Alligator mississippiensis: one gene and its partners. The protein of the gene in region 3 interacts with the protein of the main gene of each other region in a biochemical or structural test. Links are inferred from orthologs where the notes say so. Each region holds a gene or a part of one and is shown on either strand. Other genes may lie near its edges.

What was found. The genes of interacting proteins can lie anywhere in the genome.
Region 1: the proteins of MMP14 (region 3) and LUM interact in a biophysical measurement, tested with the Homo sapiens proteins (2 studies listed by BioGRID and IntAct, with this or other methods). The link is inferred for Alligator mississippiensis from reciprocal best matches to the Homo sapiens genes MMP14 and LUM.
Region 2: the proteins of MMP14 (region 3) and TIMP2 form a complex in vitro, tested with the Homo sapiens proteins (2 studies listed by BioGRID). The link is inferred for Alligator mississippiensis from reciprocal best matches to the Homo sapiens genes MMP14 and TIMP2.

Annotation. Positions count from the first base shown.
Region 1 is NC_081827.1:86,438,842-86,442,587, reverse strand, and holds the start of LUM (lumican), read left to right. Parts: upstream 1-1,363; 5' UTR 1,364-2,086; intron 2,087-3,746.
Region 2 is NC_081831.1:751,403-755,148, reverse strand, and holds the start of TIMP2 (metalloproteinase inhibitor 2), read left to right. Parts: upstream 1-1,274; 5' UTR 1,275-1,289; coding exon 1,290-1,791; intron 1,792-3,746. UniProt on the Homo sapiens protein: Complexes with metalloproteinases (such as collagenases) and irreversibly inactivates them by binding to their catalytic zinc cofactor. Known to act on MMP-1, MMP-2, MMP-3, MMP-7, MMP-8, MMP-9, MMP-10, MMP-13, MMP-14, MMP-15, MMP-16 and MMP-19.
Region 3 is NC_081830.1:7,283,195-7,286,940, reverse strand, and holds the start of MMP14 (matrix metalloproteinase-14), read left to right. Parts: upstream 1-1,103; 5' UTR 1,104-1,231; coding exon 1,232-1,315; intron 1,316-3,746.

The DNA.
Region 1 (3,746 bases), on a different chromosome or scaffold from region 3:
TGTGTCACTCCAGCAGCAGAGCAGGACTGAACTGTGGCTCAAATATTTCCCATCACTCCCTACGTTCTCATCATTTTATGCAGGGAAATAATCTGTGCCACTCCTTTTCCTGTCTCCAGCGACTTCCCTGGGCATGGAGGCTCAGTTGCTCAGGATAGCATTATCAAGTGTAGCCAACTTGCAGTCTCTTCCTCCTATGGAGGAGGGGAGTAGAGGCTACAGTCCTAAGCATCTCTAGGCCTAACCCCACCCTGTAGCACGTGACTTCTCCTGCAGGCCAAGTCAGAACTGAACATTAGGCTTGACACGTGAATGGGAAATGAAAGTTCTGAAAAAAGTACTAATAAATAAAACCAAACAAAACCTGTCATCTTATCTGGGTTAAAACTCAAGTGTATATACTGCTTCATTCCAGACACCACGCAGCCTGCAGTTACAGATATTGTCAAAGTACCTTGTATATGCTTTCTCTTTTGTATCTCGGTGGGTGTGTCTACACATGCAATTAATGTACATGAATAAACTACAGAACTTATTGCTTATTGCTCTGGAGTTCATTGCTCCTGGGTTCTGTGTCTGCATGCACACCTGGGACCGCAGCATGTTGAGCCCCAGCTGCCAAAAGTCTCGGGGAGGTCAGCCTGCCAGCCCAAAGTTGCTCCCCCTGGCTCAGCATACTGCAGAGGGGCTGGCTGGGGCAAGAGAGTGCTTTCATGTGGTGCTAGCCAGAAGGTAGCCCTTCACAATGAAGTACCCTCATGCCCCAGCTAGCCAAGGCAGCAGCCACATGTGTGCTGCTTCAGAGTAAAAGACTCTGCAGCTTGATAATATTTGTATATAAGAAATACTATCCTGCTGCAGAGTAAACTAGTTTACTCCAGCCTCACAGGGGTGCATGTATAGATGTGCAACATCTACTATGCAGTAAATAGTTCATGTAGACACACCCTGTCTGAGAGAGAGTTTTCATTTCATAAGGCAATAGAGACACAATTTATGAGTATGGACGAAACTTAGGGAAACAAACAATTATGATTCTGCTAATAATTTTATGTTTTTATTGCATTTTTTGGCATTGTCCAGATAAAGCAACGTTTCCATCCAAGCTTAGGATGCATTCTTGAACTATATCCATGAAATAGGGAACAGACAACTCACAGCTGAGTAGTTCCAGATTCTGAAGAGCAGAAAAGTGCTTAAAGAACTAAAAGGGGGGAAAAAAATGACTCAAGTGAATTTATAACCAACTGCAGGAAAGTTTTCATGGGCTGTTTTAATTCAGAAACATCCATACATGAGATCAGAGAACAAGCTTCCAGACTTGGTATTTACTGAGCAGTTAGAAAGAATCACTGGAGTCAACAGTCCTTTATAATGGTTTGAAGAAAAGGTTTACAGAACAAAGAAAGTCCTAATGCAATTTTGGTTCTTCTAGGGACTGGACTTGATTGTTCAAAAGGTCCTTGCCAGTCCAATGTTCCTATCTTAGGATCTTAACCTCAGTTAAGATTCATTAAATTATTGTGGGAATAGTTTTGGAGAAAGAAAAACAAGACAAAATGAATGAGTCATTTGGCTTAGTCAGAATAACTACATTGAGGTTTGAGTGCTATTTTTTTAAATCATGTCTAGTGGTATAAAAGAAGTTGAAAAAGAGAAAAGTTCTGTTTATAATTTGTATATTATTTTAATTTTTTTTCTATACAATATTACATTCCTCCTATAAGGCTATGGCCAATAGTCTGAACTTCTCAGGTCTGTGAAATACTTATCTTTCTCCTATTCCATAGGGATTACAGAAGGGTTGTCCTTCTACAGAATACAGTATCCACCTGCACTTCATTAGAGAGCAGCAGTTGTACATGCCACACCACAAGATCACCATGATGACATAGCAGCTTCAGTCAACAGCGTGACTAGGGGTTTTCTTCTGGTTTTTTTTTTCTTGGGTTTTTTTAGCTTTTGTATTACAGAGGTTCTGGCAGCCAGTTACCTCCTGACACTATTTACAGCATATATTGGTCGATACAGATTCTCTTATTGCATCTGCTCTGGGAATTAAAGAAAGCAGCTTCAAGGCTGTAAGGTAAGTACTGTTGCATGTTTTACCCGTATTGCTCTGCTATTTGAATGTAGCTATAATGAGAACATGAAAACATGTCAGGACAACTTTGCCAATTTGTAAATTGAACACAAATCAGCAGTTGTTTAGTGCAATTTGCTTTCACAGTTTTCTTAAAGTAACCTCACATTTGTGAGTTAGTGTTGCACTTTTTTGTCACATGTATTTTTTTTTTAAAGAGGGAAATCTAACATACAGTGCAAGGAAAATTAAAAAGTATTACTTTTACTCACTCATTCAGGATTCTGTTAGCAACAATACCTTATCCATCTTCTTCATGTTGTAAGTCATTACTGTTCTGTTTTACAGAAGAATGAAGTACATGAACATTTAAGAATTAGGCAGCTGGGAAAAGAGAAATTCTAGCTCATTTGGAATTTTAATTCATTTATCATTTTGAAAACTTTAAAATATCTAATTATAACTTTAAAAAAAATCATCTTTTTCATTACAGCCAGAAGAAAGGGAACTGATGTTGCAGAATCATAATATGCATTTAAATATTGAAGATTATTAATTAATTATTTTTACAATGCTTATATAATTGGTGCAGTCCAGTATTTTAAAGAATATTTTCACTGTGTCTTTTATGGTCTTTGCCAGTCTAGAAAGTATTCTGTGAGGTTTGTAATGATGCACTTTAGCATTTCCCATGTCTTCTATTCAACCTCAAAGAAGTTTTCACATGTATTTTAAAATTACAAATATAATAATCAAAATACTTTATTCAAAAGTTTTTTTTTGCTGTAGGACAAATATTTAAGAACTTCCTCTGACATAATAATTATAATTATCATTTTTCAAGTTAACATTTTAGCGCACATATGATCTCTGGTTGTTTTACATTTTAATAGTGAAACATTTTATATATGCTTATTAAGAATTCAGCAATAAAACTAATTAACTGTTTTACCTATTTATTTGGATAGCTTTAGTAAGCATTACACACATAAACACACATATACAATCACACACAGCTTCACTGCTTAATAATATGCCACATATTTTAATACCATATTTGTAATATTAATTCCAGTCTCTCACTGAATATTTCAAATATGTAATGCCATTAAAAGAAGTGGCCTGTATATGAAATCCAGAATGAAGTAAAGAACCATTTGAAAGTATAAATTAAAACCACAAAAGGAATTTGAAGTTAAGATACACCATCTGTTCTCCTCGATTAATAGGCCTTTACTTATGCCAAAAACAATGCAAATACATAAAAGATTATAAGGCTGAAGAGTGCCAGTCCAAACTCTTGGCCATAATGCTAACTTTCCATGTTTTCAGGAAAACAGTAAGAATTCCATTCTTAATGTTGCTTTACCACACACTGGACCGTATTTGGAGCTGATGTAAAGAAGTGCAAATCTCCTGATTTTGTAAAGACATCCCTACTTAGAGTAGCTGAGGACATGGGCCATGTTGTGATTCAGCTGATGTGTTTTCATACAAAATTTGCTAACAGACAAAGGAAATTACTTTCATACTACCTATGCTAAAACGTGGCCAAATAACAGTTTCTAGAATTAGGCAATATTGACAGGATAATCCTTGATTAAATATATTTAATATATCTCCTTATTCAAATGCTTACAATGCTAAATTACATGGGAGTGTA
Region 2 (3,746 bases), on a different chromosome or scaffold from region 3:
GGGAGGTTCCCCAGGAGATGGGCAAGACCCAGGGGTGCATGAGCCCCGGGCAGCGCTTGACCCCTACGTGCACTGTCCCTGTCCAGAGCCATGGGTTGTCCCTGCAGCGGCCCTGATCCATCCCCCTGGGAGTGATTCAGTGGCATGTGGGGGCCCTTCCTGGCCCGGGGCTCCCACAGGATGCCCACATGCCTGCTGCCCCCCAGCCGCCGTGCCCTGGGTCCCAGCTGGAGCCCTGGGCGAGTGCTGCCCCAAGCTGGGCAGTGTGGCCCCATGCCATGCAGGAGCGGGGGGGCAGGTATCCCCCCACTCAGGGGGGCTGGTGGATCCCCGGCGCTGGCGGGGTAGAGCAGTTGCTGCCCATGTGTGCCAGGCCACTGCTGCTGTGCGATGCCAGGCCAAGTCCTGCAAAGGTGGAAGGGGCTGGGCCCCACAGCTCGGTCCTGGCTCTGCTGAGCCTGGGGGCTGTGGGTGCAGCTGCTGCATGAGCCCCCCATGTGCCTGTGAGGTCCTCTCCCAGGCAGCCTTGAGCCCGAGCCCCTGGCAGGGTGACCCAGGCAGCGTGGGACCTCCCAAAGCAAAGTGCGCAGCGCCCTTTTAAGAGCCTGGCTGGCAGGGGATGCTGCACATGAGTCCTCCCCTAATAGCTAACAGCTGGTGCAGAGGGAGGGGGCTGGGCTGCCTGCCCAGGGGCCACCAGCTCCTGTGGCCTTGGCTCCCTGCTGCCCCAGGCATGCCCTGCCCAGCAGTGACAACCCTCCCCACTCCCCCAGGTCCCAGAGGGGACGGGTGAGGATCGGGCCCAGGCGTGGCGTGTCCAGCCTGGCGGCTGTCGGGGTGCAAGGGTCAGGGCCCGGCCTAGCCACTGGCCTTGCGTGGCAGTGGCTGGCTCAGGACAGGCCTCGCTCTGGGAGCCACGGACCTGTGCCCAGCAGGCACCTCCGTCACCCGAGCGCCCTGCTGGGCTCTGGCTCCCAGGCCCTGCGTGGCCGGCGGTGCCTGGGGGAGCCCTGCGATGGGGGCCAGTTTCTGGGAGTCCCCGGAGGGGGCTGCGGCCTCTCCAGAGCCAGCGTCTCCCGCGGGTTCCCCTTTCCCCGCAGCACTGAGTCCCCGCGGGTCCGGGCAGGGGGCACGGCCCGGCTCCCGCGCGCCCCCACGGCCCTCCCTGCCCCCGCGAAGCACCGCCGGCGCCGGCTGCGGGCCAGCCCTTGCCCACGCGTCGGGGTCGCCCCTTCCTCCTGCGGCGCCTGCCCTCGCCCTGGCTGCCACCGCCCGTGCCCGGCGCTCGCATGGCCGCGGCGCGCCGCCGCCCCTGCCCCTCTGCCCCGCGCTGGGGTCGGGGCGGGCGCGGGCGCGGGCGCGGGCCCGGGCCGGAGGGCGCTTTGCCCGGCCCGGTGCGGCCCCGGGCCCAGCCGTCGGGCGGAGGTGGGGCCGGGGCTCCCGCCCCGGGGCACGGCCGCGATGCCCGCCCGGCGGCGCGCGGGGCCGAGCTGCAGCCGGCACTGGCCAGCTGCCACCGGGAGGAGGAGCCGCGGCGCCTTAAAGCCCGGCTCGGCGGCCGGGAGAGGAAAACAGCCCGCGGAGGAGGCACCGCCCGAGCCCGAGCCGGAGCCGGAGCCCTGCATGCCGCAGCGCTGAGCCCCGCCGCCCGCACCATGAGGGCCCCCGCGCCCGGCCCGCGCGCCTGGCTCGCCCTGCTGCTGCTGCTGCTCGCCGGGGCCGGGCGCCTGGCCCGCGCCTGCAGCTGCTCGCCCGTGCACCCGCAGCAGGCGTTCTGCAACGCCGACCTGGGTAAGCCCCGCGCCGCGCCGGGCCGAGCCGGGCCGGGCCGGGCCGGGCCGGGCCCGCCGCACACGGAGCGGGCAGTGCCGCGGCGGCCCGGCTGCCTCCTTCGCCGTCTCCCTCCCTCGCCTCGCGCTGGGGCGGCGGCCGCGGGGAGGGTGTCCGCAGCGGTCACTCCGGCCTCCGGGAAGGGGCGTCTGCCTGCCGGACACGTCGGGGGCCTTGACGGGAGAGTGCGTGCACACGTGTGTGCGCGGTGGGTCTGCCTGCCGGGCGCGAGTGTGTGTGTCTGGGGGGTGTGTCTGCCGGCCCCGGGCCCGGGCCCGGGGGGTGCGTGCCCGTGGGCGGCGGAGCCTCCCCCCGCCTGCCCCGCACGTGGGTGCGCGGGGATGGAGAGGCCTGGCCCTGCGTCCCCGCCGCGGGGTCCGGCTGGCTGCGGCGGAGCCCGCCCGGCGAGGAGGAGCGCGCCGCGTTGCCATCTTGATTCAGTCGGTGCCTAGCAGCGGTGGGGCCAGGGCGCAGGCCGTGGCCAGCCTGGGAGCCAGGGCCGGGTCACCTCCGCCTGCTCCTTCTTTCCAGGCATTTCCTTTCTTCCGTCCCATCTCTCTCGGCTTGGATGCTGCTGGAAGGCCGGGCTTGGCAGCCCCGGGATCCGGATTCCTCTTCCATGAATAATGCCCTTATTAAATTGTACCATATTAAACAAACAGGCCAGGCCGGGCCGGCGCGGCCATTCCCAGCCCCGCGGCCTGGCGGGCAAGGGAGCGCGGTCAGTCTGAGACGCGTAGGCAGGCCGGTCACCCGGAGCTCGGCCCACACCCATCCGTCCGCCGCGAGGATGCTCCGCCAGCGCTCCCGGCTTCCCACGCCCCCGGCCAGCGCCCCTGCTCCGGCCCCCGGCCCCGGCCGCTGCGGCTTCTCAGCAGCTGGCGTCAGTCTCTGCCGGGGCTGCCGGGGGCTCGGCCCACTATGGCCGAGGTTCAGGGAGCGCTGGAGGGACGGGAGAAACGGTTTCTCGGTGTAGCGGAGCCCCAGGTCTCCTTCCGGCTGTTTGCCCGGTGGCTGGGGCAGTGGGAGCCGGACTGCAGGTCAGCTGGCAGAGGCACGTAGGACACCTCCCCGCCCTGCCCCTTCCACCTCGGCCCCCTGCTCTGGGGATGCTTCCTCGGGCTCCAGCACGTGGTTCCAGCCCCACGGGCTCGGGCGGGTGGTGACAGCAGGGGATGCTGCTGGGAGCAGGGCAGTGAGCTCCCACGTGCCCGTGTGGGGCAGCCAGCAGTGTTGAGGCATATAGGGCCCCAGTTTGGGCAGCACAGGGCTCCCCAGATCCTACATGAAGCTCGGGGCAAGGGGCTCCATGGCCCACAAGCTGCTCTGGGTACCAGGCCGCGCTCCCCTGCCTTGGCACTGGCGGGGCAGGCCGGACGCATTCCTGCACACTGCCCTGCTGGGAGCTGGCTGCCGGGGCCACCGCCGCTCGGGGACAAGCCAGGGCCTGGTGACAAGCAGGTTAGCGAACATGGCCTCGAGGAGGAGGACAGGGTAGTTTAGTCTGAGCCGGAGCTGGCAGAGGGGCAGGGAAACGGCCCAGTCTGTCCGGCTTCAGGGGTCTGTGTGTAGCTGAGCGGGGGCTGGAGGTGGGTTGCTGCTTCTGTGCTGCTCGCCCTCCCCACCCCAACTAAGCACTGGGGATGCAGCCATGCAGGCCAGGGCTGGGCACTCGGTTGCAGCCTGGCACCGAGGGGGCCGCTCCGGGAGCTCTGGGTGTCGTGCTTCTAGCGGGGCAGGCGAGGGCTGCCGGTTCCTGGAACCGGTGTCACCGGCTGTGTGCTCAGAGCAGCAGCAGTGACATGGGCATCGCATTGGCAATGCCTCCTGTAGCCCCTGCATGCCCTGTGGCACCTGTGTGAGCGCAACCTGCTCCCAGCAGTTGACTGTGCCCAATCTGGTCTGCCCTGCCCTGG
Region 3 (3,746 bases):
CCCCGCCTCCCCCTCTCCCTCCCACGTGGGGAGCCGGTGCGGTTTGCGGGGCCGCCGCCTGCCCGCCTGGGTTCCTTCTCAGCCGTGGGAGGGAGGCGGCGGGTAGTGCTTAGAGCAGCCGGGACGCCTGGGCTCTTTCCCAGTGCTGAGAGGGGAGGGGAGCGGGGCGGGGGTAGTGGTTAGAGCGGGGCGGGGGGTCGGGGTGGCCGCGGGCCAGGCTGCCTGGGATTCCCTGCCTGCTCCTGGCTCAGCACGGCCGGCCCGCTGACTCAGCCACCTCCGGGCCACATCCTGCCCAGCGCGCCCGGTGCCTGCCCGCCCGCGGCCCGGGGAGCGCTGTCGGCTTCCGTCACCGGACAGCCCGCGCCGGCACAGATGCGGGACTGGGCACAGGCCTACCTGTGCATCCACCCACCTCCCGGCAGCCCCTTTATCCACCCACCCGTCTCCACCTACCAATCTCGTATCCATCCACCCTCCATCCCTTCTCCCACAGACAGAATGAAAATCAGTCATCCATCCCTCTCCAAATATCGCCCTTAAGCTAGCCTTCCATTGCCATAACCCCAATCCAGCCATCTGCCTCTCCCTCCCTTCTTCCAAAGACAGTTTATCTATCTATCTATCTATCTATCTATCTATCTATCTATCTATCTATCTATCTATCTATCTATCTATCACCATAACCCCACCCATCCATCTATCCATCCACCCACCCCACACCCATCCCTCCATCCCCATAGACTCCATCCACCCTCTCAACTATCCTCCTTTCTCTCTCCGCCCATCTCCTCTCTTTTTCACTCTTTTCTCTAATAAAGATGAACAAGCTCTCTATCCATCACGGCTCTCTCTTTCCCCTCCTGCCAGACTGGCGCTCCCCTCCCACCCATGGAGCCCCTTTGGCTCTTAACATGCTGCTAATAAAGTGTGAAGCCCTCCAGCCTGTGGGTTTGTCTGTCTCCCTGCGCTCCCCCCTCCCCTGTCTGCCCTTCTGCAAACCCTCTTCCTGTCTTTCCTCCCTCTCTCTCTCCACTCCCTGTCTTACTTCCCAGACGGCTCCTTCCTCCCTCCCACCCCTCTGCCCGCCCTCTCCTCCCTCCCTCCCTCCCTGGTAGGTGGCTCCAGGCCCCGCCAGCTGGCCCTGCTCAGAGTTATTTTCCCCTCTCGCTCCCAGCCGCCTCGGAGTCCCTTGCGCTGGGGACAGACGAACGGACACACAGAGGCAGGCATGGGCCCCTCTCTGCTCTCGGCTGGCCTGGTGCTGGGCTCCCTGCTCCAACTGGGAGTGGGAGACCCCGGCTTCAGCCCCGAGGTGAGTCTTGGGCCCCTTCACCGTTGGCCAACTGTTGGGTTGGGTTGTTGGCCAACTCTTGGGTTGGGTTGTTGGCCAATGTTTGCCAGAGTCGGCCCAACTTCACACCTCCGCAGGCCACTCTGCTGCTATCCCTTCTTCCTCCCCTGCCCCCCTGCTACCTCCTCCCGCGGCGCTTGTCTGTCTCCACACTTTTCCCCTTCCTTCCCATCCCCCTCTTCTATCCCTTCACGGTGGTTTCTTTCCTCATCTTTTCTTGCCTTGCTGGTGGCTAACTTCCCTCCCACACTTGTCCCCCTGCCAAACTTTCGCATTCCTTTGCTCCCGGCCCTGACTCGACCCTTTCTTCCCCTTCTGTCCCTGCCTTGTGCTTTCTCCCACCATCCTTTCTTCCAGGATGAACCCCAACCCTTGTCCTTGGCACTCCTCCGGTTGGCAAACTTCCACGCTCCCTCCCTCACTCCCCCCCCACCCCGCTGCCTCCCCCCAGCCCTCCTGTGCCCAGATCCCTCGTTTTTCCTTTCATCACTCCATCTGGGATTTTCCACGATCCTTTCTTTCATGGCCAGGGGCAGGTCACGGTGCCAGCCTGCCTCCCACACTCATTCGCTTGCCAAACTTTCACGTTCCTTTGTTTCTTCCCGTCCTGTCTCCAGTTCTTCCCCTCCCATTTTCTTGCTTCTTGCTTCCCCCCGGGGACGTGTCCTCTTGCTCTAGCAGCCCCCATCCTCTGTTCTCCAGCCTTTCCCATTCCCCTCATTCCTGGCTTCCAGTCCTCTGTCTGGTTTTTCCCACTCTCCTTTCTTTTGGAACTGGCCTGGCTGCCCTCCCCCCACTTGTCCTTCTGCCAGACCCGGCACCTTCCCTTGCTCCTCTGCTCTCTTCCAGTTCCCTTCTCACCAGTCTTTCTTTTCTCTTCTGTTCTCGCACTCACACCCCACTTCCATCTCTTCCCTGCAGCCGCCTTTAGTCCTCTCTCCGAGGGCGGGTGAGGGGGGTGTTCAGGGCTGCACTCCTCCATTTCCTAGATTTCCCCTATCCCTCCTTCTTTGGGCTCCCTTCCTGACTGGCTCACCCCGCAGCCAACTTTCACCCCTCCCTCATTCCCTTCCTTCCTTCCTGCTCCCCCCTGTCCTCTCAGAGGGTTCCCCCCGCCCCTGGACACTCGTTTAGCTCTGGATTTTCCCCTTTCCTCCATCCCCCAGGCTGGGTCCATGCCACCCCTGGCCCAGAGCGGGACCCACATCTGGAGCTGGGCAGGAGCCACTGGGGAAACTTGGCAGGGACTCAAGGCGCTGGCTGGCTGCTTGCTTTCATTCGTCCTTTCCAGCTTTCTATATTCATCCAACCAGATTCTTTCTCTATCTGTCCATTTGTCTGTCCTGGTAGCTGGCTGCCCTTGTATATCTCGCCCGCCTGTCTCTTCCTTCTTCCTTTCCTTCCTCATCCATACCCACAGTCTGTCTATCTATCTATTCTTCCCTCCTGCAACTTTCTTTCTTTCTTTCTTTTCCAGACAGCTCCTCTATTCAGCTAGACCCACCACCCCTCCCCTTCTCTCTCCCTCCATCCATATACTTTCAGTCCATCCGTTCCTCCTCCCCCCGCCCTCCGGTTTCCCAATCCTTCCTGGAAAGACAATTACAAATCCCTGGTTGTTTTTCTCCTTCCTCTTGCCAACACCCTTGTCCCCCCACCAAACTTTCTCCTTCCCTCTCTTCCCTGGGCACTGGTCCAGCCCCAGGGGGGACGAGGCCAGGGAAGGCCCCTCTTGGAAAGAAAAAACAAAGCAGAAGGGACAGATGAGTGTAGGGAGAAGGGTGGGGGGAGCATGGTTTCATCCTGTGTGACCTGACCCCCTACTTTGCAGGAAGGAAAGAATGAGGGAGTGAGGAGAGAAGGAAGCAAGCAGCACAGGGCCAGGCTGGCACGGGAAGGTTCCCCTCCCGTTTCCTGTGGGGAAAAATGAATGAGACAGCATGGGGAATAAAGGAATGCAGAGACAGACAGAACGAGACGGCCCCCTGAGCGAAGGAATGTGCGGAGAGACAGAGCGAGACAGGCCCTGGAGTGAACGAATGCAGAGACAGGCAGAATAAAGCAGCTGAGGGATAAACAATGGAGCAGAGAGACACAGCGGGAGGCAGGCCCAGGATAAATGAGTACACAGATAGAGGGAACCGGACAGGCCTGGGATAAATGAATGCAGAGACAGACAGAACAAAACTTGCAGAGAGAAACAGAATGGCACAGGCCCAGGGTAAGCAAATGAGCAGAGAGACGGAATGAGACAGGCCCGGGATAAACTCATGCAGAGGGATAAGCTGGCCTGGAGCGAACAATGCAGAGAGAGACAGAGTGAGACAGCCTTGGCCTAAATGAATTTAGAAAGAGGAAACAGGACAGGCCTGGAGCAGATGAATGCAGAGAG